Struthio camelus: one gene and its partners. The protein of the gene in region 4 purifies or fractionates together with the protein of the main gene of each other region. This does not show direct contact. Links are inferred from orthologs where the notes say so. Each region holds a gene or a part of one and is shown on either strand. Other genes may lie near its edges.

The links.
Region 1: the proteins of RIPK1 (region 4) and CFLAR purify together in Homo sapiens (affinity purification with western blotting; 5 studies listed by BioGRID and IntAct, with this or other methods). This does not show direct contact. The link is inferred for Struthio camelus from reciprocal best matches to the Homo sapiens genes RIPK1 and CFLAR.
Region 2: the proteins of RIPK1 (region 4) and TAB1 purify together in Homo sapiens (affinity purification with mass spectrometry; 3 studies listed by BioGRID and IntAct, with this or other methods). This does not show direct contact. The link is inferred for Struthio camelus from reciprocal best matches to the Homo sapiens genes RIPK1 and TAB1.
Region 3: the proteins of RIPK1 (region 4) and TICAM1 purify together in Homo sapiens (affinity purification with western blotting; 4 studies listed by BioGRID). This does not show direct contact. The link is inferred for Struthio camelus from reciprocal best matches to the Homo sapiens genes RIPK1 and TICAM1.

Annotation. Positions count from the first base shown.
Region 1 is NC_090947.1:10,403,041-10,410,201, forward strand, and holds the start of CFLAR (CASP8 and FADD-like apoptosis regulator), read right to left. Parts: upstream 3,009-7,161; 5' UTR 2,502-3,008; intron 2,338-2,501; exon of another isoform or gene 2,209-2,337; intron 981-2,208; exon of another isoform or gene 506-980; intron 291-505; 5' UTR 219-290; intron 198-218; exon of another isoform or gene 11-197; intron 1-10. UniProt on the Homo sapiens protein: Apoptosis regulator protein which may function as a crucial link between cell survival and cell death pathways in mammalian cells. Acts as an inhibitor of TNFRSF6 mediated apoptosis.
Region 2 is NC_090942.1:57,995,351-58,002,943, reverse strand, and holds the start of TAB1 (TGF-beta-activated kinase 1 and MAP3K7-binding protein 1), read left to right. Parts: upstream 1-4,577; 5' UTR 4,578-4,783; coding exon 4,784-4,816; intron 4,817-5,657; coding exon 5,658-5,794; intron 5,795-5,982; coding exon 5,983-6,136; intron 6,137-6,776; coding exon 6,777-6,863; intron 6,864-7,422; coding exon 7,423-7,561; intron 7,562-7,593. UniProt on the Homo sapiens protein: Key adapter protein that plays an essential role in JNK and NF-kappa-B activation and proinflammatory cytokines production in response to stimulation with TLRs and cytokines.
Region 3 is NC_090967.1:4,658,301-4,665,549, forward strand, and holds the start of TICAM1 (TIR domain-containing adapter molecule 1), read right to left. Parts: upstream 3,005-7,249; 5' UTR 2,879-3,004; exon of another isoform or gene 2,516-2,878; intron 2,348-2,515; 5' UTR 2,036-2,347; intron 1,935-2,035; exon of another isoform or gene 1,789-1,934; intron 1,591-1,788; exon of another isoform or gene 1,507-1,590; intron 930-1,506; 5' UTR 783-929; intron 239-782; 5' UTR 25-238; coding exon 1-24. Other genes in the region: perilipin-3, read right to left, coding at 3,477-4,043, 4,128-4,256, 4,525-4,724, 5,259-6,057, 6,409-6,491.
Region 4 is NC_090943.1:104,667,379-104,674,651, forward strand, and holds the start of RIPK1 (receptor-interacting serine/threonine-protein kinase 1), read right to left. Parts: upstream 3,001-7,273; 5' UTR 2,890-3,000; intron 784-2,889; exon of another isoform or gene 1-783. UniProt on the Homo sapiens protein: Serine-threonine kinase which is a key regulator of TNF-mediated apoptosis, necroptosis and inflammatory pathways.

The DNA of each region.
Region 1 (7,161 bases), on a different chromosome or scaffold from region 4:
TTGGGCAAACCTGATGCATTCCATCTGCACGCGTTTTAGCCAGACCCACTTCTCCATGAGAGGTGAAGGGCATCTTGTTTCACCCTTCCATCTGATAACGATAGCTTTTGCAAACATCATTGGTGCAGTTATAGCTGAAACATGGACAACTAAAGAAAAAGAGAAAAGCAATGACAGAATGCATAACCCAGCAGTCTAGCCCTCAATTTTTAGATTACCTGGGCTCTGCAGCAAGAAGAGCTTCTGAACGTAAATTCTTTACAAAATGGAGGGAGAGGAAAACAGCACACCTTTTGAGGAGAAAAGAAACAAGTTCACAGTCAGCAGAGAAAGCTGTTCCTGTAGTTTATGTGTTCATGTGTGCATGTAATTTGCCAATATTGCTGCAAGAAAATACTTAAAGACTTTCCTCTTCTGTTCCGTTCAGTGTTGCTTCCACTGCATAAAGATTTCGGCACAGAAGTTACAGAGCAGGAAGATATTTAAAAGAGACGGTGCTCCGTACCTTAAAAAAATCAGCTGTGCCTGAAGCACTACACTTATTTCCATTTAAATAAAATCTAAAATCATTGCAAATAGCACAACTGTAACACAACAACCTACACCGCTGTTATCTGAGGATATTGCAAGGCTGCCTCAGTAATATCAGGGGCAGAGTGAGTGAAGGGGCCAAGCCTACACATGGAACAAAGAACTACTTTTTTGTTCCTGTAATCAAAGAACCAGGAAAGCCCCAGGCACCTCGAGGGAGAAGGACAGGGGAGGAGGCAGTTTTCTGTAAGTCTAGCTATTTCAGTTCACAATCACACCAAATTTTCACAGGGCAAGCGCTCTTGTGGAAAATAGTCATAAGGTCTTTGAAAAAATGACTGATTCTAGAGTGACTCATCAGTCACCTTGTCACCCCAAAAGAGGATTGAGAGAAAACATGTCTCAAGAGGATTACTACAAAAGCACACTCAAATACGAGTTACTGCTTTTAACTTTCCTTAAGGAAGTGGAAGATTTTAAGTCTGAATGGACATTCCTTAATGAATTTCTCACCTACTGCAATGGGAAACCATCCTTGTCGAGGGCATGCTTATCTAAGTCTGCACTGACTTTTGACCCTGGATATTACACTGTAAGTAAGGATTTATTAAGATAAAATACCTGAGAAAATTAGCAAGTATATTTCTCAGACCACAATAGTCATTTCCCTTCCACGCTAGGCAAAGAGCTAAGAAAATATCAGTATGTTAATTGGCTTCTATGAGAGTAATAAAATGAATTATACTCCTATTTTCTGAACTTTCTCACTGCCCAGAATCCAGGCAGAATACATCCAAAATCAAGGACCAGGATTCTTTTTTTTTTTTTTTTTTGTTAAGGTGCGGGAAATAACAATATCCTAGAACTTCACAAAGACTTGTAAGGCTCTGTTAACTCCCCCCGTGTATGTACAAGGCTCAAGCAATTTTACTTTTTGCAAAACAAATGCTGCACAACATACTAACATCAGTTCAATTAGCAAGGCAAAAAAGTGTCCTGTACTAATTATGACAAAGTCATCTATCAGGCCTCAAATTAAGAAGCAGAAGTCTTTCAAGAGAAGCAGGGAAACCTTTCACACTTTAAAAGTCATCTCCAATTACAGTCTGTCAGTTGAGACAGCATTTGTTTCTTGAACGTTTCACAACTGTAGTAAACATCTCTACAGCAGCAAAAACGGGATATATCATCAGTAAGTGTAGTTCTTGTTTGGAAAGCCCTCTTTGTTTCACAGGACGAGCCCAAGTAGGAGCCCCTACGCCAGGCAAAGAGAGCGGGTTACCTTGCTACAAGGAGGTACTACCTGTATGTTGTGGCCCCTCCCCCTGCTTTAAGATGCAGAGGTGGTCAGCGCTCATTTTGAGCATGTATCATCTGACGTCTTTCAAACTGTTGCATATGTCAGGGCGTGTTATACAAGTTTCAAATACCCCTGTAAAGAAAGAGGATCTGCTACGAGGCATTCAGGGAAAGCCCACGGTAACTTCCACGTTCCTCATCATTGTATGAGGCCTAATGATTTGCTCTGGTGTAAACCAGTAGTGACTACACTCATTTCCATTTAAAGGTGAGCTAGTTTAACACTCCGGTCCTGATCAAAAATTGAAATAAACTGGCTTTACCCTAGGGAGTTTATACAGCTTTCCGCCCAATTTTAACTACGTCACTTTAACTCACACTTGAAAAATGAAGCGAAAGGAAACTCCGCGCTGCAGGTCGAAAAGGTTTCACCCGAAGGGCAGCGCCGGGTTTCGTTTCTCCTCACGAGCAAGGACGGGCTCAGGCCCCGCTGGCGCGGAGCGCCCCGGCTCGCCGCACCCGCCCAGGCCCGGCCCGGCCCGCCCTCCGCCGGAGCGGGCCGCAGCGGGAGGAGGGCCCGATCCCGCAGCAGGGCGCGTTGGGGGCGCCTGTCCTGAGGGCGCGGGGGGGGGTGACTGCCTGGGGGAAGGAGGAGGGGACGCATAACGCACCCGGGAGGTCTCGTCTACAGCGGCGGGGCCAGGTCCGGAGCAGGAAGCGGTGCCGCAGGGAGAAGGAGAGGGCGGTACCGGCCTCGCAACGGGCTCCCCCGCACCAGGCGTGGTTTCGAGCACGGGCGGGGGGAGGCACAAGACCCTGGGCGCTCAGCATGGCCCCTTTTTCTCTTTCTAATGCGAGTTTCAGGATGAGACATCCGGAGCGTTTTCTGCTCCTCTTAACGCTGCTGCGACCAAAGCCGCCCCCACGCATAGACAGTCCCTGCCCCAGGCAGAGAGCTCCGCTCGCCGAGGGAAGAGGGGACTGAATATTGCCACCTTCCCCTCACTGCACAGCTGCGGAGCCACACTCGCCAGCCCTCGCCAGCCCTTACGACTTTATCGCGACTCCAGCCATTAGGTACCCGGGGTCGAGGGAATGGTTATCAGCCGCCTACTTTTCGGTCGCGCAGCCAGCAGCTGCTCTTTAACCCGCCTCAGGAGAGGAACCGCCCAGCTCCGCTCCCACTGTGCGGACCAACCCCCACAAAATGGCGGCCGGGGCGGCGGCGGGAGCGAGGCGTCCACCCGCGCGCGATCCACAGCGCCACCTGAGGGGGCCGTTTGCGCACAAAATGGCGGCGCGCCCGCCTCAGGGCTGTGCGGAGCGGGGCCCTGGGGGGGAGAAAGGGCGGGAAAAGGGGGCCGAGAGGGCAGCGTGGGGCCGCTGGGCCCTTCTGAGAGGGCAGAGAAGGAGGGGGTGAGGACGGTGCTGTCCTATCAGTGAGATGGGCGCGTTTTTGTGTGTCTTGGGGGCTTCAGCTTGGAGGCCCAGAAAGGGAAGGCTGGGAATCGCATTGATAGGTAGCAGTACACACAGACATGCGTACATAATCTACGTGCATGTAGGCTGCAGGCTTCCTAAGCCGGTTTTCAGACGACGAAGGCCCACCTCAGGAGCCGCTGAGTGGCAGATCCAGCAGTTGTGCAGTGCAGCAGGCTCTTCCGTTGAGCGAATGCAGACTGGTGAGCGCAGGGCACGTATGGCGGGGCGTTTTGGTGGGGGGTTACGCAGCAACAAATCTTTCCTGCGTTCCTCTCTTGTTGTACCCCTCTGAACTCATTCACGGCGAGGATAATGATTGTACAGGCACGTGAGAGTGTTGAGCTTCCGTTTGTTGTGTAATCTTCAATACTTCTGCCCTGTGCTGCTGTTCCCATGGTATACCTGGCAAGTCCCATCAAGTGACTTAGTGTGAGGCATTAGTGTCACAGCTGGAGCTGCTCTCTCTAAATCTAAAATTCTGGCCTGTTTTTGTCAACTGAACTAGACAGAAGCCTCATCCACCATGTATGGTGAATTTGGATGCAATAGATAGAAAATCTTCAAGAAAAAAGGACTTTGAAGTATTTACAACCCAGCAAACCGTTGTATGTGCTGCTAAAATGGAGCAGTTGAAGCATGGTTTTCTCTGGAATAATGCTCAGTTGTTTAAAAAAAAAAAAATAACGTACTCCTTGGAACAGCAGAGGAAAAACTCAGGGAGGCAGAAAGTAATTTTGCCTGAACTAGAATTTGGTCAGATTCCAATTGACTGTTTTGTGCTCTGAAAAAGTACCTCGATTCTTACTGACCTGGTATGGTTAGGCTCTTGCCTCAGTATCTGTCATTACAGGGTAGTAAGGGTATTGCAGTGTCCCTGCTGCCAAGCCTGTAGCCATAGCTGATTGAGAATGAAAAGGGCTGCCCACTGAATCTCTTCTCACAATCTCTCCTTGGACCTATTCCGTACAAATGCATAAGGCTAACAGAAGAGGTTATATATATATAATGAGATAGTATGGCTGCAGCCTTATGAAAGAAAAGAAGAACCTGCTTTTTGCAAAAATGACCATACAAATAGTCACATTCACCTACATTCACATTCATAATTAACATTCACCACATCCATTGCCAAAGAGATTGACTTACTATTTTGTTTACTTTTTCCACTTTTTCCTTCACTTTCTTAATTCTTATATGCTTATGAAGCTGCTTTTGCATATTTATAGGCAATATTTATGAGCTGTGTACAAGTTTTTTGAAGGGGGGGTGTCCAAGTTTCTAAGTTGAAATACTACATTGTCTTCTCCGATTGGTTCTCATGTCCTAGAACTGCAAATCAGTATGAGTGCAGAGCAGAGAGCGTTCTAGTAAGATTAGATAGGATTGAGAAGAGATGGTCCTATTTTGCTGTGATTTAGAGAGCTTTGGATTTATATCTCTGCCTCGAATTGGATTTCTCTCCATCTACTTTCATAACAGGTTGGGGCTATTTTGTAGATTGTCCTAGTTAAGTAAAACAAAAAAAAAATTCCATGTATCTAAAAGTCAGATTTTGTATGATCAAGGTGAGTGCGTTACATCTGTTTATATAAGTGGTGTTGCTAATATCATTCATTACATGTCATAGTTCCTTATTTTAAAAAAAGGAGCTAATTCAGTAGGAGAAGTGTTGTTTGGTTTTTTTGTTGGCCTACAACTGAGGACAGAAAAGGTATAGGAAACAAACATAGAAGACTAGTCTGGAGGATGATACAAATTTAGAATTTTATACTGAATGATGTAAAATTTTACAGTTGCTGTCAGCAAAAATAATAAATCACGAATATCTCTTGAGATGATGCAGATAGCTTTGTGAAGCACAGGTGAAAATCCTATGACCATCATCAGTGTTTTTCAAAACTTACTTACAGAATGAGCTTCCTGATTGTGCCATTACCATCATATGTTCTTCACCTGGAGGTGGCCACTGCTGTTTGTGACCCTGTTCTTTGCTCTGTAAAATAATCTTATGTGTGCTGGTAGGAAGCCTGCTTTAATTTTAGGACATTCATTGCTATGGTTACAGTGAAGACAGGTTTGGTACTTATTATCCTATTACATAGGAAATACTCCATTACCAGGAAGGATTAGTATTATTTTAGTAAATGTGAAATAAAAATCTTTTATATAAGAGTATTGTGTGTATAAGGAGTATTACATGCTACATCTGTTTTAGGGAATGAATGAAGACACGTTTTGATATTCCCTAATACTGCCAAGGCAAGTTCACCATAAATTTAGGCAGCCATTGATGGCAGTGGCTGAAATACTTTCTGGTAATTAAATCACTGAATGACACCTTCTTAATCTATAAATTAATGAGTTTCACCTAAACCAGTCCAGTTTTAACTAACAGCGAATATGCCCAATATACTACTACGGTGTGGAATGTTCATAAGGCTGATTCCTATGATCTTCCCTATACACAGCAGCATTTAAACATGAATATATGGAAGAACTGTATAAAATTGAGGTGACTTGCTTGTGTGCAAATTTTCTGGAAACTCTGGCTGAAATGAGTGAAGATGTGTAAGATTTCAACAGACTGATTCTTAACTTTCTTCATGTACTGTAATTGCCAACAAACCAGAATCTGGATAAACAAAGCTAACTGTTTTTTAAAAAATTGAGGAATGCATTAGGTTATATATCAATCAAGCTACGTTTCTGTATGCATATCTTACATCTTTTGGTCCAAGCAAAGTGAATAACATACCAATATTATGTATGCTGAAAATAGGAGTACAGTAAGTTTTTCTCATATGTGTTTTTCTGCTAAGTTTGAAAAGAATGTGTGAATCTCTCTTCAGGTAGCGTAAATGACAAAATTCTGTTTAAAAAAAATAGAACTATATTTAGTCATACCAATGAAGCTGCAGGCTTGTATCATTTTAAAAGACTAATTCTATAGGAGTCTGTGGCAACTTTACTGCAGACTCTGAAGCATTTTAAAAAAAAACAAAATAAAACAGCATGCATATAGAAGAACATGAAAACAAGGTTTCCAACTGGAAACTAAATGAAACAGCAACTATTGATCAAGGTTATGTTAAGGTTTATGCTTCTGGAAAAGTTGCAATAGGGTTGGGGGGCAGGTAACCAGTCAAATCAGCGTGCACACATACACAAGTCAGGGACACCATATTATAACTATAAAGGGCAGAAGTGAGCAGCACATACCTGAAGTGCAAGTTTCATCGATACCACTTGTAATGCCAGCTCTGCTAATCATGTGCTTCTGAACCACCACCGAAAGTTGAGCTTTCTTAATCCTTTTAATCTTAGACCTGGTTAGAACAAGCAGTGAATACTAGCCTTTGCAAATGCATATTCAGGGCAGGACTGCCTAAGGGATAATGTAGAAATGTTTTGTTGCAACAAACCTTACACAGTATGTTCGTGATTTGTTTTTCATGGAATGATGCAATAGCATAGGGATACTTGAGAAAGAATTAAGCAAGAAAACCAATTTAGTAAAACAGCTGTTTGTCCAATGAACAATGCCTTAGGCAACGTCATGCAGAGATGTAGAATTCTGTAGGAGTGCAGCTGTACTGTTCAGTAGTTTTATTGCCTCCAAAAATAAAACTCTGCTATAGCCTCACTGAAAGACTGTGCACTCTCTCTCTCTATATATAGAGAGAGAGGGAGGCATTTTACCCTCCTTTTTTTTTTTTATTTTTATTTTTTAAGAGCTGCAGTTGTTCTTGTAAAGCTGCAATTACAACTTCAAGGTACTCTACAGTTCTTCTACACTGGAAGTATACAACGTAATTGTCTAGTGGTATTTGAAGTTTACTTTTCTCTTGT
Region 2 (7,593 bases), on a different chromosome or scaffold from region 4:
CTGTAACAACTCCATTTCCCTCCTTCAAAAAAACTGAACTGGCTCACAGCTCTTTACTAAATCAATTTTGCAGAGATATTGGCTTACTCTCTCTCTCTTATCTTTGGGCATCAGTCCTCCCTCACCATTCCCCTTCTCCTGGCTGTAGCTATTCCACTTTGGCCCTCCATCTGCCTGGAGGGTGCTGGAGGAAGGAAGCTGCTCTCTCCTCTATCTCCATCTTTCCTTCCTTAATTCTTGTTCCCTCTATTGCTCTATTGCTCCATTTCTATTTCCTTGCCTTTCCAGCCTGCCTGGAAGTAGTGGCCTACAGAAGAACCAGGAGCATTAGGGCATCTGGGCCTGTGGGAAGCAGGGGGCCGAAGCTGGTACAGGTAGTTGAGGAGAGCTTGGGAGGAGCTGTGTGATGCTTACAGCGCCGCCCCTTCTACCATCGGTCTCTGTAAGGCTCTGCCGTAGGAACAGAGCAAGTGCAGCAGGCTGGCTCTGCTTGAGTGACTCTTTTCCAGATCAGCGCCTGCAAGCTTTGCCGAACATCATGACTTTCCTCCCAGCCCCAGCCTCCATCATCAGCAAAACAGGGCAGAAAAAATTCTCCTTAAACCAATCTCGCTTGTGACCAGCAGAGAGAAACTAAATGATATGATGGCTTTTGCTGGTAATCCTATAATAGCTTCTCATTGTGTAAAATTTCTGAGTACTTACAGCAGCACCTTGCAGGGGCTGTCCTACTGACATTGTGCTCCCCCAGGGCATGCTGTTCAACAGGGAACATCTTTTATCTACTGGTCCAGCAGAGTGAGCATGCTTCCTTTTCTACAGAGAAATCATTTGTAAAAACAGGAAGGCAGTAGTACCACTTGGCACCAGAAATGCTGTGTATATAGTCCCTAGCGCTGGGAACAGAGAAGCAAAGAGAAATAATAAATACAGAGGGGGAGAGAGAGAGAAAGAGAGAGAGAGGAATGAGAAATATGGGAGTTTTAAACTGACATGAGAGAGGGAGCTGTGCTTTAAGATAACTCTAGATCCGGTAGTCACTGACTCATACAAGGAATTTATTTGCGTGTGGATGAGGTTCAATGGCCGATATCCTGCATTCTTGGGGAGCTTTTTGCTGTCTCATACAGCACAGTAATTTCTGAGAGGATTTACTAAAGATAAGAAGCATAAATAAAACAAAGGGAAAAGTAACTTTGATCAATATAACCAAAAAAACTGTTGGTGCAATATTTCATTTAGCAAGTGCTGCATACAGCTATTGGTCTCTGTGAACAGTTATTCACGAAGCAGCATACAAGCATCAGTAGCATTTTCCTTCAGAAGACTGCAAAATGCTTGAGAAGTACCCATTTAGCACTGCAAACAGCCCTATCGGGTAAGTCTTATCATTCATGTTTTGCAGAGAAGTAGCTAAGTGCTTTGCTCAAGGTTAGGGCTGGGACTCAGTGGCAGAGCCACAGTAATATCGAGGTAGAATCTGGCACAAGTATATTCACCACGTGAAAATGTTTTGCACCAGAAGGTCTGTGTTCCAGCCCAAAGGGGAAGGAAAAAGATAAACCAGAAGGACAATAATCAGTGAGTGAGAACTGAAGTCAGACCCATTTGAATTAGGAATAGGGCACGCTTTTAACTGCAAGAGGTGACTAACCATCGTGCAAACAAGGAAAATGGCAGCTTCTCTATCTATCTTCCAGAAAGTTGTTTTCCTCTCTCTCTGGGAACAAATTCTGCCCCATCTCACACACCCACACACACACCCACACACACACCCACACCCCCACACACCCACCACTCTTTTTAGTCTCAGTAGGAGTCAGTTATGGATATGAGAAGACAGAAATGACTCCTAAATTCCCAGTCCCGCAATGCGATACACCCTGGAAAGTCTCTAAGCACTTGCTGATTTCAGTGGTGCTTTGTGCAAGGACAGGGTCTGCTCATGCTCATCAAGGTGCATGCCTGCAATCTTCAATGTCATTAAATAAGCATAAGCTTTTGCTGCAATGCTGAAGAAAGTGACATCGTGTTTTAAAGCAGATAACTTGTCTGTTGCTTGTTAACTACAAAGACAGTGCTGTTCTATACGGGTTTCTGCAGCACCATGAACTTTTAATAGGGATAAGAAAACAAATCTTTGTTAGTTCTAAACCTGTTATTCCTAATTTTAATTTTAATGCTGACTCAAGGCCCATTCCTATAATTGCTTATACCCACTCACAGCTTTACAACCACAAATAGTTCAAATGAGATCAGTCAGACCAAGCTTGTACATAAAGCTAAACATGAGGAAACTTGTTTGTACACTGAGATTTTAGATGTAGCATTTTCTTCCATCTTTGGACAATATAACCTTTAAAATACTGCCTGTGTATCCAAGTCTGCTTGAACAGCTGAAAATGTGTGCGTCTTGCCCAATGGGAAAGGATATGAACTCTTTGTATATTTGGAAGAAAGAGATGTAATTAAACAATAGACAAAGGATTTACAGGAAGGGAGCTGGAATCCTCTGGCAGGAGTCCCTGCAGCAAAAGCCATAATTCTATAGAATGAGGTTAATTAACTGGCAATTATTTCTAAAGTGCATCTGAATATAATACATTTGCCACAAAGATGTCAGTAAAAGAGTATCAAGTGACTGCTGGAAGTCAAGACTACTTAGTACTCCCACCCTCACCACAACTGCACTGCTACACTTGACTAAAACTGCACATCCAGCATGTTGAAGACCCTTCAGTTCTGATTCGCAGAGAGAAATGTGCTTTTCCCAGAAACCCCTGGTGCTGCAGCCAGTCTGCCCGCCATCGCTCACTTCGAGAGATGCCAATCACACACCCGGAAGGCTCTTCAGCTGACTTACAATGAAAGTAAGTGATGGGAATGATCCCTCTTTCTTCCCTCCTGATTCAGTAGGGCTGGTTAAATGGAAACGGTCTTTCCTGAAACTGTCTACCTCTGCCTAGAAAGGCAAAGATAGGTTCTTAAAGAAGAGCAAATTCAGTTATCTCTGTGTCTATATCGCTTAAGTAGAAACAGCAAAGTGAATGTGTTGGTCTAAGTTTCCTTAGGGAATCTATTGACAGGAAACGGCCCTGAATATAGTCTAGATTAAGAGCTCAATATCAATACCCTTTTTACATACACAGATGTCAGGTATTCCCACCCCAGGTCCTCCACATCCCAGGTGAGAGGCAGAGAGATGTGTAACAAGTGGATTCATGACACCTATGTAGATATGCTCCAGTATGAACTAGTTCAGCAGCCAGGTCAGCTCACCTCTGGCCCTGCTTTGCAGTTGCACAGCACCTTGCAGAGAGCTTTCAGTCAAGATAGCTGAGAATCAAGGTGGCAGGGAGGGAAAAAAGGAAGGCCTTAGTCCGCAAGTCTAGCGAAGAGCATGGAGGAGGGAAATGTAATCCCCACCTAGTAAAGGCCTGATTCAGATCATGATCCAAACGGAGAAGGAATTTGCAAGTGTTGGCTAGTGGACTTAGCAAATCGTGCAAAGAAAAGTCTGTGCCCTTTCTGTGCTGTAATAGGACAGAATATGGAAAAGTGATGCTGGGGTACAAGGGCTGGAAAAGCATCAGCTTGCCCCAGGTGGGAAAGCCTGTGGCGCAGATCAGAGAGGACCAGGCAGGCACGCTGCCAGGGCTGAGCAGGGAAATCAAGGCAGCCAGTCACAGAGCTGTTGCCCCTGCAAAGCACTCCCCACACATTTTTCTGAATAGTGAACCAGAGCAGAATCACTCCATGCCAGCGGAGGGGCGTTTCAGCTGGTCCCAGCAGTTTTGATCCAGCTCTTTGACAAACTACAAGTGATTTTGCTGTTATATCTGACTCCAGCCTACCAGACATTGCTCCAACATGTGGTGGATGATGAGAAGCATCTGTGAGCTGCTCTGGACACCTTCCCATTGCTGGCCTGAGGGTATGGTCCCACCATCTCTTTGTTGTGGCCTGCAAATGAGGGTGGGAAAGGGCCTTGACCACCCTGGCAGGAAAGGGACTGCAAGCTGAGGAAAGCGGAGGCCTCTTGTGGTATCTACAGGCCAAGAGTGCAGCTGACAGCTGGTATCTTGGTTTTAACCATACTTGGTCTTCCTTAAAAGCTGCACACAACACAACTGACCGCCAGGCTTGCTTAGGGCTATTTGGCACCCAAGGTAGCCCCATTTCATCTGCCTCTCCTCCCTCCTCCACACACGCCTGCAATGATGGTAGAAGGGCGCTTCTTTCCCTCAATACTGACGGCCTCCAGGTAAGAGGCAAGAGGCGTCTTCCTTCACCCGAGAAAAGAGGAAAGGGAGACGACAGGGAAATTTAAAAACAGTATATTAATTACCAATATATAACATATTAATTATTAATTCATATTAATATGTATAAATATGGAGCAGCGCAGGACGCAGCACTGCCGCCGCGCCCACTGCCGGCGCCCACCCGGGGCCAACGGCCGCCCCGCGCGCGCCCGCCCGCCGCGGGGGGGGGGGGGGGGGGCACTGTTACGCGCATGCGCCTGCCCCCGAGCCGCGCCTCCTCCCCATCGCTCCCGCAGGGGAAGGGGCGGGGCCGCGCGCCACTGGGCTGCGGCGCCCCCCCTCGGAAGCGGTGCGTGCCGCAGCCGTTGGCTGCGCGCGCCGCCGGGGGGAGGAGAGGAGGCAGCGGCCGCCGCCGCCGCCGCTCTTGCCGGCGGACTCGGCTGCTCTGGAGGAGAAGGGCCGGGGTGGGTGGAGGGGGGGAGGAGGTGGAGGAGGGAGGAGGTCGCTCCTGCTCCAAGATGGCGGCGCAGAGGAGGAGTCTGCTGCAGAGTGTGAGTGGCATCTTCCCCCCCTCCGTGCACACGCACCCCCCTAGGTGTGTGTGAGGGGGGTCCAGGCCTCCCTCTCGCCTGCTCCCTGGGAAATGGAGGGGAGGGCACTTCTGTGGTGTTTGTGGAGGCGGGTCGTTGCCTCAGGGCGGCGGGTCCCTGCTGAGGGGCCCGGCCTGGGGCGGGACGGGGGGGGGGAGGACCCTGCATGTTCAAGAGTCTGTTCCCTGAGGTGCCCTGCCGCTCTGCAGCGGGGCATCGGCGTGTGGGGGGCGGCAGGTGGCTGAGGGGGGCCGTGCCTGGTCTGGAGGGGTCAGGGCAGGCCTCGGCAGAGTGTGTGTGTGTGTGTGTGTGTGTGTGTGTGTACGCACAGGGAGTGTGTGACAGGGAGCTGGTGGCCTTGAGGGTGCCTCTCTAATTGTCTGCAGCGACAGGGCTATCGCCCTCTTTTCCTGGGTGGATGTACTCCAGCAGGGAGCCAGAGCGTTGCCCGTACTCCCATGCCGCAGATGCGTGAGAGGCTGGTTCACCAAACGGAGTGCTAGTGCTGTGCTGTATCCAGTGTAAAACTCAGGTGCAAATTTCAGTTCTGGTTTCTTATTAGCAAGAGCTGGAGGTGCAGCCAGAACTCAGCTTCAGAGGGAAAGAAAGTGGTAAGCGATCCAATTCTGCAGCAGTGGCAGGGAATATGAAGTTGCTGGCTGGGGTGGTGTGCTACCCTTTTAGCAAAGGTGAGAAGGGCTGAGAAGAGGGTGGGGATGGTCTTGTTGCCCATGCTGAACCTGGATCCTCACTTCAGGCTGCTTGCCATTTACATAGTCTCTTTCCTCTTCCTGTCTCCCAGGAGCAGCAGCCCAGCTGGACAGATGACTTACCATCCTGCCATCTCTCTGGGGTAGGCTCAGCTCCAAACCGTTCCTACAGTGCAGATGGCAAGGGGACAGAGGGTCATCCCTTGGAAGATAATTGGTTAAAATTCAGGTAAGTGGGTTAACACAGACCGTTGCAGACACAAGGACAGGTAGGAGTGGTGGTTGGCTCCTCACAGTAGGACTTGGAGGTAGAGGGTGGGGCCAGAGCATGCAGGAGTTGTCTGGAGGAACTTGTTTTGTATACTTCTTTCTGTCACAGACCTCTCTCACCTCTTTGCTTCTGCCCTCTCTGGACAGGAGTGAGAACAACTGCTACCTCTATGGTGTCTTCAATGGCTATGATGGCAACCGAGTCACCAACTTTGTGGGTCAAAGGCTCTCTGCAGAACTGCTGTTGGGCCAGCTACATGCAGATCACAGTGATGCTGATGTGCGCCGGGTTCTGCTGCAGGTAAATGAGATTTGGCTGAGAACAGCCCCTGCTTCTCACAGGACCCACCTCCTCTTTTTTTGCCACCATGGGAGCAGCATCTGGTTTCTGAGGGAACTGGGAGCAGTCTCTGCCAATAGCTGAGACTGCACTCATCCTGAGCAGCTGTAGTGCTTTGTTTCACTCCCACCTCATACCCATCTGTCCCCCTGGCTCAGTCAGCACACTGCTGAGAGCTCTGTGGGAAGCTGCAGCCAGTCTTCACTGGACGTGTAGGGAAGGGACAAGTCAGCCTGCGAAGGAGATGACAATGAGTGAAAGAGAATACTTAATGTGTGGGGCGATGGATTTGTGAGCATACTTTCTTGAGTGATAATAAGTTTTTTACAGTCAGCACACAAAATCAGGCAGGTCTCTGACATTGCTCTGAACATAACTTTTATATTTTTGTCCCCTGTTTTGGGTAGTTGCAGTTTGTTTTTACAGACTAGTTAACTAGTTGCACCAAAATAATTGTTCTTAGGTGTGATGTAGTGATTCTTGACTATCTGTAGAGCGATCAACCACTCTGGTGAGCCCATTTTGGTGTGGTGGGGGTGGGCAGCCTGGAAGCTCTGTAGATATTAGATAAGAGCTCAGTCTCTCTTATGGCCTCTTTTAGGCTTTTGATGTGGTAGAAAGGAGTTTCCTGGAGTCCATTGATGATGCTTTGGCAGAGAAGGCCAGCCTGCAGTCTCAGCTACCAGAGGTAACGTAGTCTTAACAGCGGAGATTGTGGGAGGTCCCTCCCTCCAGATTGCTGGATGAGTCTTAGAGACGCTATTCAGTCTGGTCCAAGGGAGGGTGTACTTGAAAACTATTACTCTTTAGTTCTTTTCTGGGGGCCTGTGTGAAATGAAGCAAACGTCTTGGTCCAGTTCCCAGAGGTGCCACTGTGTTCATACTGGCCCTACTTAGACTCATCATTGGTCGTCTCAGAAGAGGGGTGGAGAACTGAACGTATCATGGAGATGAGTTCACCTCTGTGCATGTGGCTCTTCCAGGACAAAGCCATATGACACAGATAAGAGACAGGGCCTCTGCATGGCATCTGGGCAGATGTGGATTCTGCTCTTCAGGTGAGCTGGACTGTCTTCCCCAGAACCTTACCAGAGCCATGTTATTTATTTGTTAGGGTGTTTCTTTGTCACAGCCTCATGCCAAGACTGCATAAAGACAGTTCTCCTCCTTGCAGCATTCAGATTCCAGCTGTGGTTTCTGTGTTGTGGGTTGTGTGTTTAAGCTTCCCCCGGTGTCTTGGGTTCCAGGGTGTCCCTCACCACCAGCTGCCTCCTCAGTACCAGAAGATTGTGGAGAGATTGAAGGTTGTAGAGCAGGAGATCTCTGGAGGAGCCATGGCTATTGTGGCTGTTGTTCTCAACAACAAGCTCTATATCGCCAACGTGGGTGAGTAGTTCTTTGTCGGCCTCCCAGACTTG
Region 3 (7,249 bases), on a different chromosome or scaffold from region 4:
CTGGACCTCAGCACTCTGTGCCATCTCATCAGCTGCTTCTCCAGACAATGCGCTGAAGAAGCATGGATGGAAAAAGCATATTACAGTCTCTAGAGCAAAGGTTTGTTTCCTTATGGTGCTCTCTGAAGCCCTGGTCGTACGTACTTTTAAGTACTGCACAAGGAATAGGTCCTTGTTGCTCACGGGCTCATCTCAGAGTCAGGGACAGTCTCTGCCTTGAAGAACTGGCCAGATGAACCTGTGAGTAGAAAAAAGGGCAGTGTTCAGAAATAGTGAGGCAGGGAGCTTGGGAGACTCCTCGAAAGGTTTGTAGATAAATATTTTTGCATCTACTTGGTACTTGCATATCCCGAGGCTTGTCTGAAACGTGCTCCACACATTATCCCAAGTCTATTATTAGGCAAACAGCAAGTCCTTCACGTTCGTTATATGTCAACTAAACTGTTTTAAAATAATTGCTAAACTAATACTATATTTAGGTAAATCCAAGTGTCCAGCTGGTTCATATCAACAGTCCATCTCCACCAGTGGCCTCTGTTGGGCAGGGGCTGATTGCAGGGGCCTCACAGCATCCTTGTAATGAGCAGTTAAGGAATAAAGCCCCGCTTAGAGGAAGCCTCCTGCCGATTACAGGCTCCGCGTCTTTTCAAATCGCTCGTACCCTGCCAGGAAGGTTTGTATTCCTTTCGCGTCCACTTTCAAGCTGTCTAATGTAATTGTGGACATACGCGTTATGGTCATATGCATCTAATCCCTGAACCCAGCTAAGCCTTTGCACTCACCAAAGCCAGCTGAACGGAGTTAAATTAGCCAGCAGCACTTGTCCGTAGAGCGAGGGAGGTCTGGGCCTCCGGCAGGTCTGTGGCAGGCAGGCGAGAAGTTGCTGAAGATGCACTGGCAGCGACTGATCCGTTTGAAAAAATCTTTCTCTATTTAAAGGAAAGCCAGAAAAAAATGTGTTTAAAAATAGCTCTCAACAACCAAACTTCTGGGGAAAGTTTGTAATTTCAAATTGTTTTTCTATCTCATAAAAATCCTCTAATTGCTTAATGAATGAGCTCAAGCTGAGCCTGAGGAAGTTGTTGTCTTTCTATGAAAACTTCTGATTCAGTGAAACATCTAAGGAAGGAAAGGAAGGGAAAAAAAAAAAAGAAAAAAGGAAGTCCAGGCATTCAAAAACAGTAGAGGAGACCTTTGACACTTATTTATGTTCTACCCCTCTGTGAGTCAGCAAAACCTCCCACTACTCCCCTAACTCTCTGCTCCCTCTCGCTGGGCATCTTGCTCCAGAGCCTGCAGCTTTGAGCTTGCTCTCTTGCACGACGAGCTCTTAAAAACCGGTGGGGAGCCGAGCAGGGCCCCGAGGCCGATCTCTCCCCCCTTCTGCCCTCCGACCCTCAGTAACGCTTCCACCTTCGCCCCCTCCGCTCTTCTGTGCCGCCTGCTCTTGCAGCCCTCCTCCCCGAGGCGCGAGCCGGGGCCAGCGCTGCGAAGGGACCAGCCTACCTCCGGCAGGGCCCGGCCGCCGCCGCGGCGATCCGAGCGGCTCGGCGGAGGCCGCGGGAGCTGCCCCGGCTCCCCCGGCGCGGGGCGGGGGGGGGGGGGGGGGGGGGATGCGGCGGCGGCGCCCGGGCAGCGTTTCCCAGGCGGGCCGGGGGCAGGTGGAAACGCGGCGCTCTCGGTTTCGCCGGGGCCGCGGGGAGCCGCCTGCTCCCCGACGGGCCCTGATGTCACACGAGGAAGCGGCGGCGCCCGGGAGCGCCGGGGCGGAGCGGTGGAGCGGGGCAGGGGCAGCCCGGAGCGGCGGGAAGCAGCGGGGGCGCCGGGGGGCAGGGGCAGCCCGGTGGCACCGGGGCGGAGCGGGGCAGGGGCAGCCCGGTGCGGAGCGGGACTCCCCCGGCCGGCCCGGAGGCAGCACTCGGTACCCGAGGCAGGTGGGTCTCGGCGCGGCTGAGCGGAAGGAGCCCCCCCGCCCCACCATGAGGTCGGTTATTAGCGGCCCGGGGCGCTAGCCCGGCCCTCTGCCGGTACTTACCCTCCTCTGAAGGTAGCACCGAGCAGCTGAGAGCAGACCCTGAACACGAACCTTTTTTGTCTAGCGAAAGTTTTGGTTTTGTTTCCTCAAAGCATGGGGGTTTGGCAGCAGTAGGAGGACAGAAAGATGGTTAAGGCAAGTCGGGTGGAGGTTGGAGCTGGAGACTGATGCAAGTAGGGCTGATGCTGGGAGTGGGGTGGGCAGAGCTGAAGCCCAGGGGTACAGGCAGAAGCTTCCAGGAGGCAGGACAGTCGAAATACTTTTCTACTAAAGACTGAGGCAGAGCTTGGGTCCAGCTCAGAGTGTTTAGTTCTAGCAAAGGGGAGAAAAGCCAGAGGGGAAAAGAGCAATTAGGAGATGAACTGCCTAGAAAAGTAATTCTTTAAAATGCTTCCTACAGGCTCAGGTTAAGGGGAGAAGATGATGCTATTGCTTGCTCATCAGAGCTGCTGCAGCCTTAGATACATGAGAGAAAGATATTCATGTGAAAACAGTCCAAATTTTATTTTGAAATCTGTTTGCCTTTTTCCATTTCTCCAGCATTAGCACTATTCACATACCAGGACATGGGCTACCTAAATAAGTTAGGCTAAGAATAATTACAAAAACATTATTTAGTGGGAAGAAAACAGGACCCATCACCCCTATTTTAATGACAAGATATCCCATAACCATGGTAGAGAACTCCTGGGAAAAGCTGCCTCATAAACCAGCTTCTTAATGGCTGCAAAACGTTTCATGCATGGAGTTACTTAAACACAAACAGACGGTCCTTAAAGTCACTTACATGGATTAAGAAAGTAATCTCACTGAAAGTTGGCATGCTCAAAAGAAAAATCCCACCTTGTAAGTGTTTCTCTGAAGGAAAAGTGTTTGGCTGCTCTGTAAAGAGAGGTCTCCTTTGGGAAGGACCCTCTTGCCCCCAGCTGTTCCTGGTCTGCTGCATGTCTCAGCCTCACAGGAAGTGGCACAGTCAGGAAGGAAGTAGTGTCTGTAATGCTGAGTTCTAAACTTGTAGCAGGAGGGAACAGTATCAAAGAGGCCAAGTGCATCATCCTCTTAAGATGCAGCTTGGATTAATTAAAAAAAAGCTCCAACATTAAAAATAAGTTTCAAGACCATTTCTTCTCTCCTACAACTCCTCTCAGCAAGAACTAGCCATTCACAGCTGTGCTGACTTATTTAAAAAGCCAAAATACAGGTCCCCATCTTCCCTTTCAATGCAGCATGCTTTAGTAAAAGGTATGCAACCTTTATGCCAGAATCAGCCCACCTTGGTTATCAAGTCACCTTGCAAACTACATCTTCTGTAAGCTCAGCTACATACCTCCAAAGCCTGGGATAGTGTCAGAGCAGGAGGCATTCCTGTAAGATTGGCAGCTGGGCACATGATTAAAAGAAGTTCTAGCCAAGGGGTTTGGGTTAGAAGAACCGGGATTTTTCAGAGCTCCTCCTCTGGTGCATTAGTTACTATCTCCTCTGCAGGTTTTGTCACCTCTCCTGTGCATTTCTCTACCTTCTCCTCCAACCTGTCTAGCACTTTAGACCCTTCCCCCAGGATCCTGTTTGCCCCCTTTGATTCCTTGGGGGCTTCAGCTACCTCCTTTGGTGACATACCCTTTTCCAAAGCAGGTGATTTCATATCAGTCATCATACTGCATTTCTTCTCCTTTCTGCTGTCTTGTGATACTTTGGCTGATGCCCTGAAAGGGCCCACAAGCCAGTTTAGAGGGGCGTTGAGAGTTACATATTCTAGCAAGTCATCTAGGGATCTTTGGGCTTCCCTCACACAGTCCTGGCTCTGGGTCAAGGTGCTGCCAGAGAGGTCCTGGAAGGACTTAGCACTGGAAAAAGAAGTGTGGAGCTTCTGGATGCTTTGAGTGGCTTGATGTACAGTTTCTTGGATGTTGCTGGGGAGGCCTTGAATGCTGGCTTTCAGATTCTCATATGCAGGTTGTAGCTGCTGGGTGATGATATGCAGCATAGCTAGGGTCCGTGACTCTACCTGCTAGGAAAGAATACAGCTCAGTTACTGTAGCAGATGAGATGCCCGCTATCCACAAAAGGTCTGATTACACCCTTCTAGGGATACCTCTGGTTGGGAGGCAGTTTTAATTTGGTGTCCCTTGGGTTGGGTCAGGCTCCAGTCTAGCCATAGCTGATGGAGCTTCTCCTGCCCGTCCAGAAGCTTCTGGCCAACCTCGTCTTTCACACGCTCTATCTGATGGAAAGAGATGAGGAACAGTTACATTGCAAGCACATACAAAGCAGCACAAGCGCTCCTGTCTGCTAAGCACTGGAGTCATGTTATAAAGAAGCAGCTTCCAGAATCACATTCTGCAGTGTTACCTGTCAGGGAGGGACTCAAAGGGACATGCAGCAGAAAACATACCTTAGGTGCAGAATGGAGGAAGCACCTCCATCTGGGTGCTAGCAGGGGGAAAGAAGACTCTGCGGAGTGGGATAGAAAAGAAAAAGGGTGTTTGTACCAGGTTTATTGCTAGTTGCAGCTGGGAGAGAGTATCCCGCGTGCTTTGCTTAACACGCTGCAGTTTGTTCAGGGAGTGCCGGTAGGCTCGGAGGCGGACTTTGTTAGAGAGGGAGCCCAGACGCACAAAGTAACTCCGCTGCTGTTTCTGCTCCTCCACAGAGGCCATATCAAATCCCTCAACAGCAGTGGCAAGTTGACCTAGAGGGTACAGAGATCCAGCTGTCAACAGATGTCTCTTCTCTACCCTGTGCCCCATCCCCTTTGGCCCTGGAGCCATCAGGGCAAAGCCCAGCTGCCTCTACCCTCACTCCTTTGTCTCCATGCTCTGCTCTCCCAGCTGTGAGGGGGAAAAGGTAAGATTTGCCCATTGTGAAACATGGGAGGAAGCTAAATCTCGCTGTATAAGTGGTAGGGGTTGGCAGTTGTTCAGAGATTACAACTAGGCCAGTCCCAGCTTGAAGGGCTCTCTTCAGATAAGCAGACTTGACAAATAGGTTGAAGCATGTACCCAGTTGTTGTTTGCCTTGAGGCTGATAGGCAAACCAAGGAGTAGCTAGCACGTGCTTGAACTCTGTCCTATACCACGTAGCACGTCAGTGGTGACAGAAAGCCAACTGGGTGATATTCAGAGCTACCTATCTGCTTCAAAAGATGACTCCTGCAGTGTCAGGTGCTCTCTAATCATGTGGAAAGTGATTTGCAGTTACAGCTACCAGCTAAGCATTTTCTTACCCAGCTCCTCCTCTGTCATGGGGAGGTAGTGATCCACCAGATCTTCTGATATATCCAGGACAGATTCCACACCACCTGCCACTGCTTGGCCCATTGCCTTGGCTTTACTTATGCTGTTGGTCACCATGAAATTAGTGAGCTCCACCCCCTCCTGGATAGCCTCTCTGCTGTGCTCCAGGGCTGTATTCATTTTGCTAGTTATGGTGCCATATGCAGCATCCAGAGCTGTATTGACTGTAGAAGTGACCATTGATTTAGTCTTCTCAACACCATCCTGAACAGCCTCTTTGGTTAGGTCTACTGCTTCAGTCACTTTGTTGGTTACGAGATCCTTTGCACCCTGGGCAGCCCCTACAGCCGCAGTAACAGTAGAAGCGACTGCGGCCTTTGTTAGTCCAACGCTGTCCTCCACAATGTTTTTAGTGAGGTCCACTGCTTCAGTCACCTTGTTAGTCACAAGATCCTTCGCACCCTGAGCGGCCTCCACAGCACTGACGATAGTAGAAGCAGCTGCTGACCTGGTCAGTCCAATGCTGTCCTCCACAATGTGTTTACTGAGGTCCACTGCCTCAGTCACCCTGTTAGTCACGAGCTCCTTTGCACCCTGAGCAGCCTCCATAGCACTGGTGACAGTGGAGGTGACCATTGACCTGGTCAGTTTAACACTGTCCCCAACAACATTTTTAGTGAGGTCCACCGCTTCAGTCACTTTATCAGCCATTGCTTCTTTTGCCTCACAGGCAGCATCCATAGCAGATGTCACTTTGGCAGAAACCAGCTGCTTGGTGTCTGAGATGACCTACAACAAGGTGAGGCAGAGAAAGATGATGCATTTTTCCAGAATAGGTTTCCCTCCCTCAGGGAGCTTTTCACATGGCTATGCTGTGCCTGCACTCTTGTGGGAAAGGTGAGGAAATCAGTACATCTGTATTCACATGGAAATCTATTTCCACACGCTGAAGGCAGAGCCTCGGCTTTCATCAGCTAGCAATGCCTTCTCTAGCTCAGGCAGCTGTAGCCCATATCCAGGAACTGACCTGACAAAGCAGCACTGCCCAAGTTAGTTTCCCCATATACTTCTGTACCCATAACAGTTATATCAAGCAAGAAGAGTGAGCCATGGCTTCCCTGGAAAAAGCCTTTGCTTTACCTTATCTGCTGGCTGTTGAAGAAAAGGCAAGTTCTCCTCCAGCTGATCCAGTCCCTTGCAGGCATATTCATTTACAAGTGCAACTAGACAGAAGGACAGGTACCAGGTTAGTCCCTCTACTCGAGTTTGGAGGCTTTTTTGATCCTACAATGGCCAATCCAGGATGAGCTCATGAGAGCAAATAAAGTAGATCATTGTTTGGGGTACGGGTGGTGGTCAGGGTCTCGCTAAATAGTCTCTTCGTTTTGCCTTCCCAGCCTTCTAGCAATTGAGAGCACATCGCTCCAGCCAGAGCGTGGTACTTGTTTCCAGTGGATAGGGAAGCGGATTAATGGCTTTTTACTGTCTTGGGATGAGACAAACTGAGCAAAAGGCAGAATAAACACTGATACTACCTGATGGGATATTCACAACTTGAAGCGATAGAGGCAGAGCAGGGAGCTTTTGCCTCTCCACTTAAAGAAGCCACAGATGAGGTCAAACTTGGCTTCTGCTAGTGACAATCCCTTATCCATCAAATTCAGTGGGCCTATGGAGTGGCTGGGAGCAGTGGAGGAGTCAGCAATACTACAAGTGTTGTAGGATGTGCTGTAGGAGATGTTACCCAGAAGGGGCATCACTTGCACCTTAACGAAGCAGGGGTATCATCTAAGCTCATGGTGGTTATCTAGGCTTTGTCACATAAGCCAAAATAATGTGGGAATGACTTTGCAAGAGACATGGTTTTAAGAGGAGACTTCTAATGTCATTTAGAGGTAGTTTACTTGTTGAAGACTACATATGGCTAAGAGAAAAAAGTTGATTTTTTTCCTCTTCCTTCTTTCATGAGGAGTGAGAAGTT
Region 4 (7,273 bases):
CTTTCAAGTATTAGTTCAAAGTCACATATCTATAGTAATTTTTGCATAATAATGGTAATTATGCATCTAGCTAGTAATTACTCAGGACAGAACCACATATTCTGTCCTTATGATCATGCAAATACACTAGATATATATTTCAGAAAGCTAAATCCCTAAAGTTACATTAATGCTATCGATAGCTTGGGGTTACCTGACAGTCATTACTATATAACTTAATGAAAAGCAGCCCTGCCCCAAACTACAGCAACACTCTTCCTATATAAATTGCTAATGCATTTTCCCATCAAGCCATAATTAGTCACCATGAACGCTGAAATGAACTGGATAACATTCAACATAGGAGATTTTCTCACACTGGGGCAAAAAACCCTCCATTGGGCATGTTCTAGTATTAGGATGTTACTAACTTTTCTTTTTTAAAGTAGAAAGTACTCTAAGAACTTTGAACCAAAGATTTGCTTCAAGCCCAAAGGGTTTTTTTAGGATGGACATCACAGGGAAGCAATTTCTGGCACGGTTTTTAAGGAAAGACTGCTTACTTTGGTATATTACTTCACTGATATTACTTGGGAATGTCAGATAATAGAGAAATCAAGGAGGAGAGCTCCAAGGCTCAAGTCCAGTCCAAGTTTACTGCTTTTTATTACGATACATGATTTTTCAAATCTATCCTTAGTAGCTATGATACTTCAGGATAAGCATTATATATCCGTGATATTATATAATGAGTATACTGAGTGAACAGGAATTTTGAAGTTAGTTCAGCCTAACCTCACACAAGCTAAGCATACTTACAGCGTTTAGTTTGTGTTCTATAGGGTCCCCTTCATCTGTACACTTGGTTGATCACTAAGCAAATTATTTTTTAACACGATGTTCTGAACAGCTTTATTAAGTTGGTTTACTTTTAAGAAGTGTCAACATGTACTACAAAAATTTGGAATACTGGCTGCTAGAAGAGGGGAAGATTTGCCCAGTAATACGTTTGGGTGTTCTTTAGAGAAGGATAACAGTGTAACGTGGGTTTGTGGCTTTTCTTTTTAACATCATGGGTTATGTTCCCTCCACTGGCCCCCAAAGGGCCCAGAAACTCCCAAAATTGTGACCTGATCATTAGAGGTCATTTGGGTCTGATCGTCATTCAAAAGTAATTTGCTTCATTTTAACAAATTGTTACTGATCTGATACAGATCTCAGGTAGCCTGCACAATTAAGGGGGACTGCTAAGGGTATTAGCACAGTAATATGAAGAAAGATTATATAGTGATAATGGCTGCACTTGTGGTCTAGTTACACTAGTAATGCAAAGTTTCTTGAGAGTTAATACAGGATGTTCTAATACAAGATATTATCAGAAAAAGTGGACAAGTTTGCAGGCACCAAAACTCTTGGTCACTTCAAGGTATCAATTATGAAGAGAAGAGAATAACAAACAGGAAACAAAACCTGTAGCACTAACACGCGTAAAATGCTGCACACTTGGTGAAGACGTTTCAAAAGATGTCAGTGCATCACAGCTATATCACTGTAACCTTGATGACCCATTCAGTCTAAACCTTTCCCTTCTGCTAGGATTTTTTTTCCACTGCTGCACTTGTTGGCTCAGGGATGAACTTTTCTTTTGGAAACAGCAAAGAAAATATTTGTGTCATCTCAACAGCAAGCCACAGCTGGGATTCTACAGGAATACAAGGACGGACCAAGACAAGGGAGACAAAGATGCCAATTAAAAGGGGCTGAGATTCTTTGGTAGAACCAGAATACGGCAGAGGAAGGCAGAAAGAGGAAAGAACAAGGATTGTGCAGGGGTTTGCACCAGTCATATTTTGTAATAATTAGTTACAATTTAGGATAGAAGCGCTCATAAAAATGCATGTTCTTATATGCGAATTAGAGTAAGCCATTTCAGTAGAGTACCATCTTACACTGGTATGACCCTGTCAGAGGAAGGCACTAGCTGCTACCAAACAGCTTTCTACCAGAAACATGCTCTCAAACTAATTTCCCATCACCCAGATCCCATCACACTGATGCAGAGAAACACTTGAGCAAAATGCCACCTCTGGACCTTACTACCAGGGAGGCTCTGGTTTAACAAGTTATTTCCTAGTGTGAAAACACAGCTTTAGCAAATCCCTTCTTAGCTCAAAAAGCCTTAAAGAGCCTGTCCGGAACGAGGTGGCTATAGCCCAGCGCAGTTCAGGGAACCACCACGAACCAGGGCCCAGTCCCGCAAGGTGCCGAACGCCGCAGCACCAACAGTCAGGGGGAAACGATGCGCCCAGCCCCGAGGCCAGGCCTCTGCCTCAGACGCAGCTTCAGCCTAAGCGCCCCAAACCGCAGCCGAAGCGCACTGAAGCATAGAGCAAACGTCCTGCGAGGCGAGCACGAAATAAACGTGCGGCTTCAGCAGCAGATGCAATTCTGAGAAACCCTAACGGGAGCCTTCTCGAGCCTAGTTCCTTGTCGGCCAGCTTGACATCTCCTCCTCCTTCTCCTCCTCGCAGCTTCCTGTAAGGCGGCCGCGCTCAGGCCTCCCCGCCTCGCACGCACCGCTTCCCCGGGGCTTTCCCCGCCGCCCGCTTCCCCGGGCTCCGCTCTGCCCCGCGGGCCCCGACGGCGAAAACCCTCTGCTCGACGCGGCCGCCGCAGCGAGCGGGCGGGCGGCCGGGCGGGGGCCCCGCGGGGCCGCTCTCCCCACCGCGGGCAGCAGGTGGCCGCGGCCCGCGGCAGCAGCCCCCACTCCCTCCCCCGCCGCCGCCTCTGCAACTGGGAGCCCGCGCGGGACTTCCGGTTTCGGCGGCCGGTTCCCCCGGGCCGAGCCGGGCCGAGCCGGGCCGAGCCGGGCCGGCCGGGGCTCCCTCCCGCCCCGCGGGGCGGCCTTACCTCCCCGCGCCCTGCGCGGCCGCTCGCCGCGCCGCCGCCTTCCGCCAGCGGGCCGAGGGGCGCGGCGGCGGGCAGCGCCTGTGCGCGGCGGCGTGCGCGCCTTCCCGCCCCCTGCGGCCGGCCGGCCCCGCGCTGCCGCCGGCAGGAGGTTTGGGCCGCTTGGCCTGCCGCTGCCGCCGCCTCGGCGCTCGCCCAGCCCAGCCCGGCCGGGCTGCGCCTGCTCGGAAGCGGAGGGCGCGCCGCCCGCCGGGCCGCCGCCGCCGCCGCCCGCGAAGCCGCCGCGCGCCCGCTGGCCCGGGAGCGTGCGGAATGAGCCCGCCCGGGCTGGGAAAGCGCGTGTGCCACCCGCGCCCCGCTCCGCCCTCGCCGCGCAGCCGGCGCCCCGGGGAGAAGCACGGACCCGAAGTACTGTACTGCCCGCGTCTGGGCACACGGCTACCAGATAACCTGTCGGAGTTACCGCGGCTGACAGCCGTTGCGGGAGGGCCTGCAGTTGGTGCATGGCGGGACTGCAGCTCTTTGGTGTGGTTTTAGGGCCTACGAGGCAGTTTCTTGTTCAGGAAGATGGAGGCAGGAGCTTCTGCTCGCTAAGAGAGTACTCATAGTAGGTAACAGTCCTGCGGAAGCAGGTGGAGGAAAGGTGTAACCTAAAAGGACCTCTGTAAACCATCTAGTCCATCCTCTTGCTCTGCAGAGGTGTCTAGACCATCTTTGACAAATTTCATGTAGTTTGTCGTAATTCTACCGGTAAAAGAGATTCCATAACTTCCGACCTGTTCCATTACTTTCATTAGGAAAAGTGTTCTAATATAAAAACAATGGCTCGTTACAGCTTCTTTACATAAAAGTCATTCTTAACTGTTTCTCCAGTGAAACAATTGGAAATGATGAATGACTATCTGCTTTGTAATGACCTTTTCCATTCTGGGGAACTGCTATGCTCTTCACAAAGCCCTGTAGATGCTGTGGTGTTCACAGATCAGTGCCACCAGATACCACTGAAGCAGCAGCAGATTCATGTGGGCCGGCGAGAGCAGCCCACAATTTGCACATAAAGAAAGAAGCCTTTCTAAAGCTGAATGGCAAGCTTGCTCAGGCCCTTGACTTTCAAAGGAGAGTGATGAGAGAAGACAGTCTAGAAATCTGTTTCAGTTTCCTGATGGAAATTGAGGCCCTAGATTCTTGTAGATCTGGAAGAAGCGCAGTGGTGATGGAGAGTTTTAATTTCATGCGAGGCCCCACAGTGGATTTCATGGATAGGGTTCCTCAACCATGGAGGGCATTCAAGGCTGTTTGTACCACCACTTAAAGCCAACAAAACATTAACAAAAAAGAACCATACTCCATTTAGTACTTATGAAGCCTTTTAGGTTCGCAACGTGCACTGGTATGTAATGCTGGCATATTCTGGAGCTCTGGCCTTTTCCAAATGTAGAACTAGTCCTTTGTTTCCCCGTGTCAGTCATCAATGCATTACTGGAATTCCCAGACAACCCATTTATCCATATACTTGCCTTTTTTAAACGAAGGCATAGTCTGATTTATGCCTTCTGCTAGCCAGCACATTTATCTGGAAGGGGCAGGTGACATGTAACTTTCAATTTTCTGAAAGGCATCTCTTTTGAAAGATAAATGGGAAACACTTGGCACGGGCCGGGCGATACAGTTTTGGAGAGGCAGAACAGCCTTGGAGATAACATAAGCAGTTTCCTCCCTGAGTCTCAAGGCGGTTTTCTACACCTTGCAGTACAAACCAAACAAATGGCTTGTTTCCACTGCACATAATGCTGAGTGCAGTCATTTCCACTCTAAAAAAACCTACGGCAGTGGAATTGGCATGTGTCTAGGGCATGCCTTTGTTTTCAACGGATTCTGGATCAACCGGTGTAGAGTCAGACCAGCTGGCCAATGCTCTGATAGCATTCAAGGCAAGGCCTCATGAGGCTTACTGTAATTAAAAGGCTCAAGACAGCTATGCTGAACTGACAGACAAGGTAGTTTGAACACACATTTCATGGCCATCCATGCTGCAAGATATCTTAAGGAAAGTGTTACTAAGCCTATCGTCCATAGAAACTGGGACGTTCGTGAACTCTAATTGTCCCAAGGCAACTGAGGAAAGCAAATGTGGCATCTCTCATAACTATGGGTAGGTCGTGCAGTTTTTTTCTTCTGTTGCCATCCCGAACATTACAGAAACCTTTTAATGCTCTTTTGCTTCTCTTCTCTGGGCTTTGCATTAGGTATGTGGCTGAAGAGAGAAAGTAAGATGGCCACATTTACACAGAATTGTGTGGTTAAAAACATCTCAGTCATTCAGTGATTTACCAACAAGTACTAGGAAAAAAGACAAACATTTGTTTGTTCGTGGTCAGAGGTCAGTGTTGCCAGTTATGACATTCCTTCTTGAAATGAATAAGGAAAATAAATTGGTCCAAAAATGCAATCTGAAGTCACAGAGAAATCTCTTTAATTCTGATAAAGAAGAACGGAAGAATATCCTGAACTGGAGATAAGGTCATTCATTACAGTTCTAATGCTTTTCACAATAATGCATTTCTGTGAGCAGTTTTCAATTTTAGTATCAACTAAGATAAAATAACCCCATTACTTCTTTTTTTTCCCTTTAACTGATACTTTCACTAATTTTGACCAAACTCTCATTTACTTTGTACCAAAAGTCTCAACCATCTTATCAAAATAGAAAAAATATAAGCACGTAGAATTCCAATTGCACTTTGTTTGCATGTAGCTGTTTTTATTGTCAGTTGGATAAAAACTGCTGTTGCCAACTGCATTTGTGAAATTTTCAGATTCTGTTGCATCACCAGAAGGTGATGTAGGTGTTCCTAAATCAAACAGTATTGAAACTCCGCAGCACTAGACGAAGGCTACCTGGAAAACTTACCTGTTTTATTTATCGTAACCAATAAAATCACAAAAAGCTTATGCCCTAATGGGAAAGTGACTTAATACGGAGATATTTTCCTGGTGTTTGAAGACTGCATCACAGTTTTGCTACAGAGCTTTTAAGTTCTCCACTCCTTTCCTTCCACCCATAAAGTCCCACTCCAGTTAATTGCTAGATTTTTGTTCACATTTTTAAATGTTAAAAAGTCTGATTTTTGTTTATGTTTTGTTTACAGTTTTGCCACCTCCCTGTTTCCCATGAACTGCAAGCTCTGTGCGGACCTACACTGTGGTGGGAATGAGCGTGATGGCACTGTGTTTGTCCACAGCTAAAGACACAGCTGAGACCTCAAGAGATGAGTGTGTCCTCACACAGGAAGTTTCCAGTTCCAGAGATGAGTCAATGCTGAAACGTTAATTCTGGGCTCAGCATCCTACCCAGAGCACTGTAGAAGTAGAGGATCACTGGGAAAACCCTAAGCGGATATTTGTTCATAATCTTTCCGTAATCTATGTATTAACCTGAAGCTAAAGCACTAGCTGGTCTGCTTGATCCCACTACTGTCTGACAGCTGTACAGATGATTTTGCAAGGAGAAGCCATGGTTTTAGCTAGTTTTGCCCAACAGTACAACAGAACTTCTATTGCATTTCACTGAAACCACAGAGGGCTGAAGTGGAAGAAACTGCAGCAGTGTGCAACCAGCACTGCTGCACAGGAGCATGCGGAAAAGTGCCGAATCCTCTTGGGGAACCTGAGTGTGGGACAAGCTGCGCAAAGGGACTTGGGAACCACCCTTGTGATAGATGCAATTTTTCATTGTAGCTAAGTTCAGAAGATCTTCTGAAGTCTTGCCTTGACATTGGGGTGTGGCTGTCACAGTGGTGGTTACTTTATAGTTATTTTTTGGCTTTAAAATATCTATTAACATAATAGGATTTCTTTTTTGAAAAATAATATATGAATTATGGATGATATTTATCCCCTGGCTGTTCTTCTCTTCAGCATGACCTTTTGATAATTTGCGTGTTGCAAAGTATATTTGTCTGCAAGCAGGTGGCTAACTTCAATGAGATTGTTCCAGGAATCAAATGTTCACAGAATCACAGAATGGTTGAGGTTGGAAGGGACCTCTGGAGATCATCTAGTCCAACCCCCCCCTCCCCACCCTACTCAAGCAGGGTCCTCTAGAGCATATTTTCCAGGATCGCATCCAGGCAGGTTTTGAATATCTCCAGGGAAGGAGACTCCACAACCTCTCTGTGCAACCTGTTCCAATGCTCTGTCACCCTCACAGGAAATAAGTTTTTTCTCAGGTTCAGATAGAACTTCCTGTGCTTCAGTTTATGCCCGTTGCCTCTTGTCCTGTCACTGGGCACCACAGAGAAGAGACTGGCCTCATCCTCTCGACACCCTCCCTTCAGATACTTGTACACACTGATGAGATCGCCTCTCAGTCTTCTCTTCTCCACGC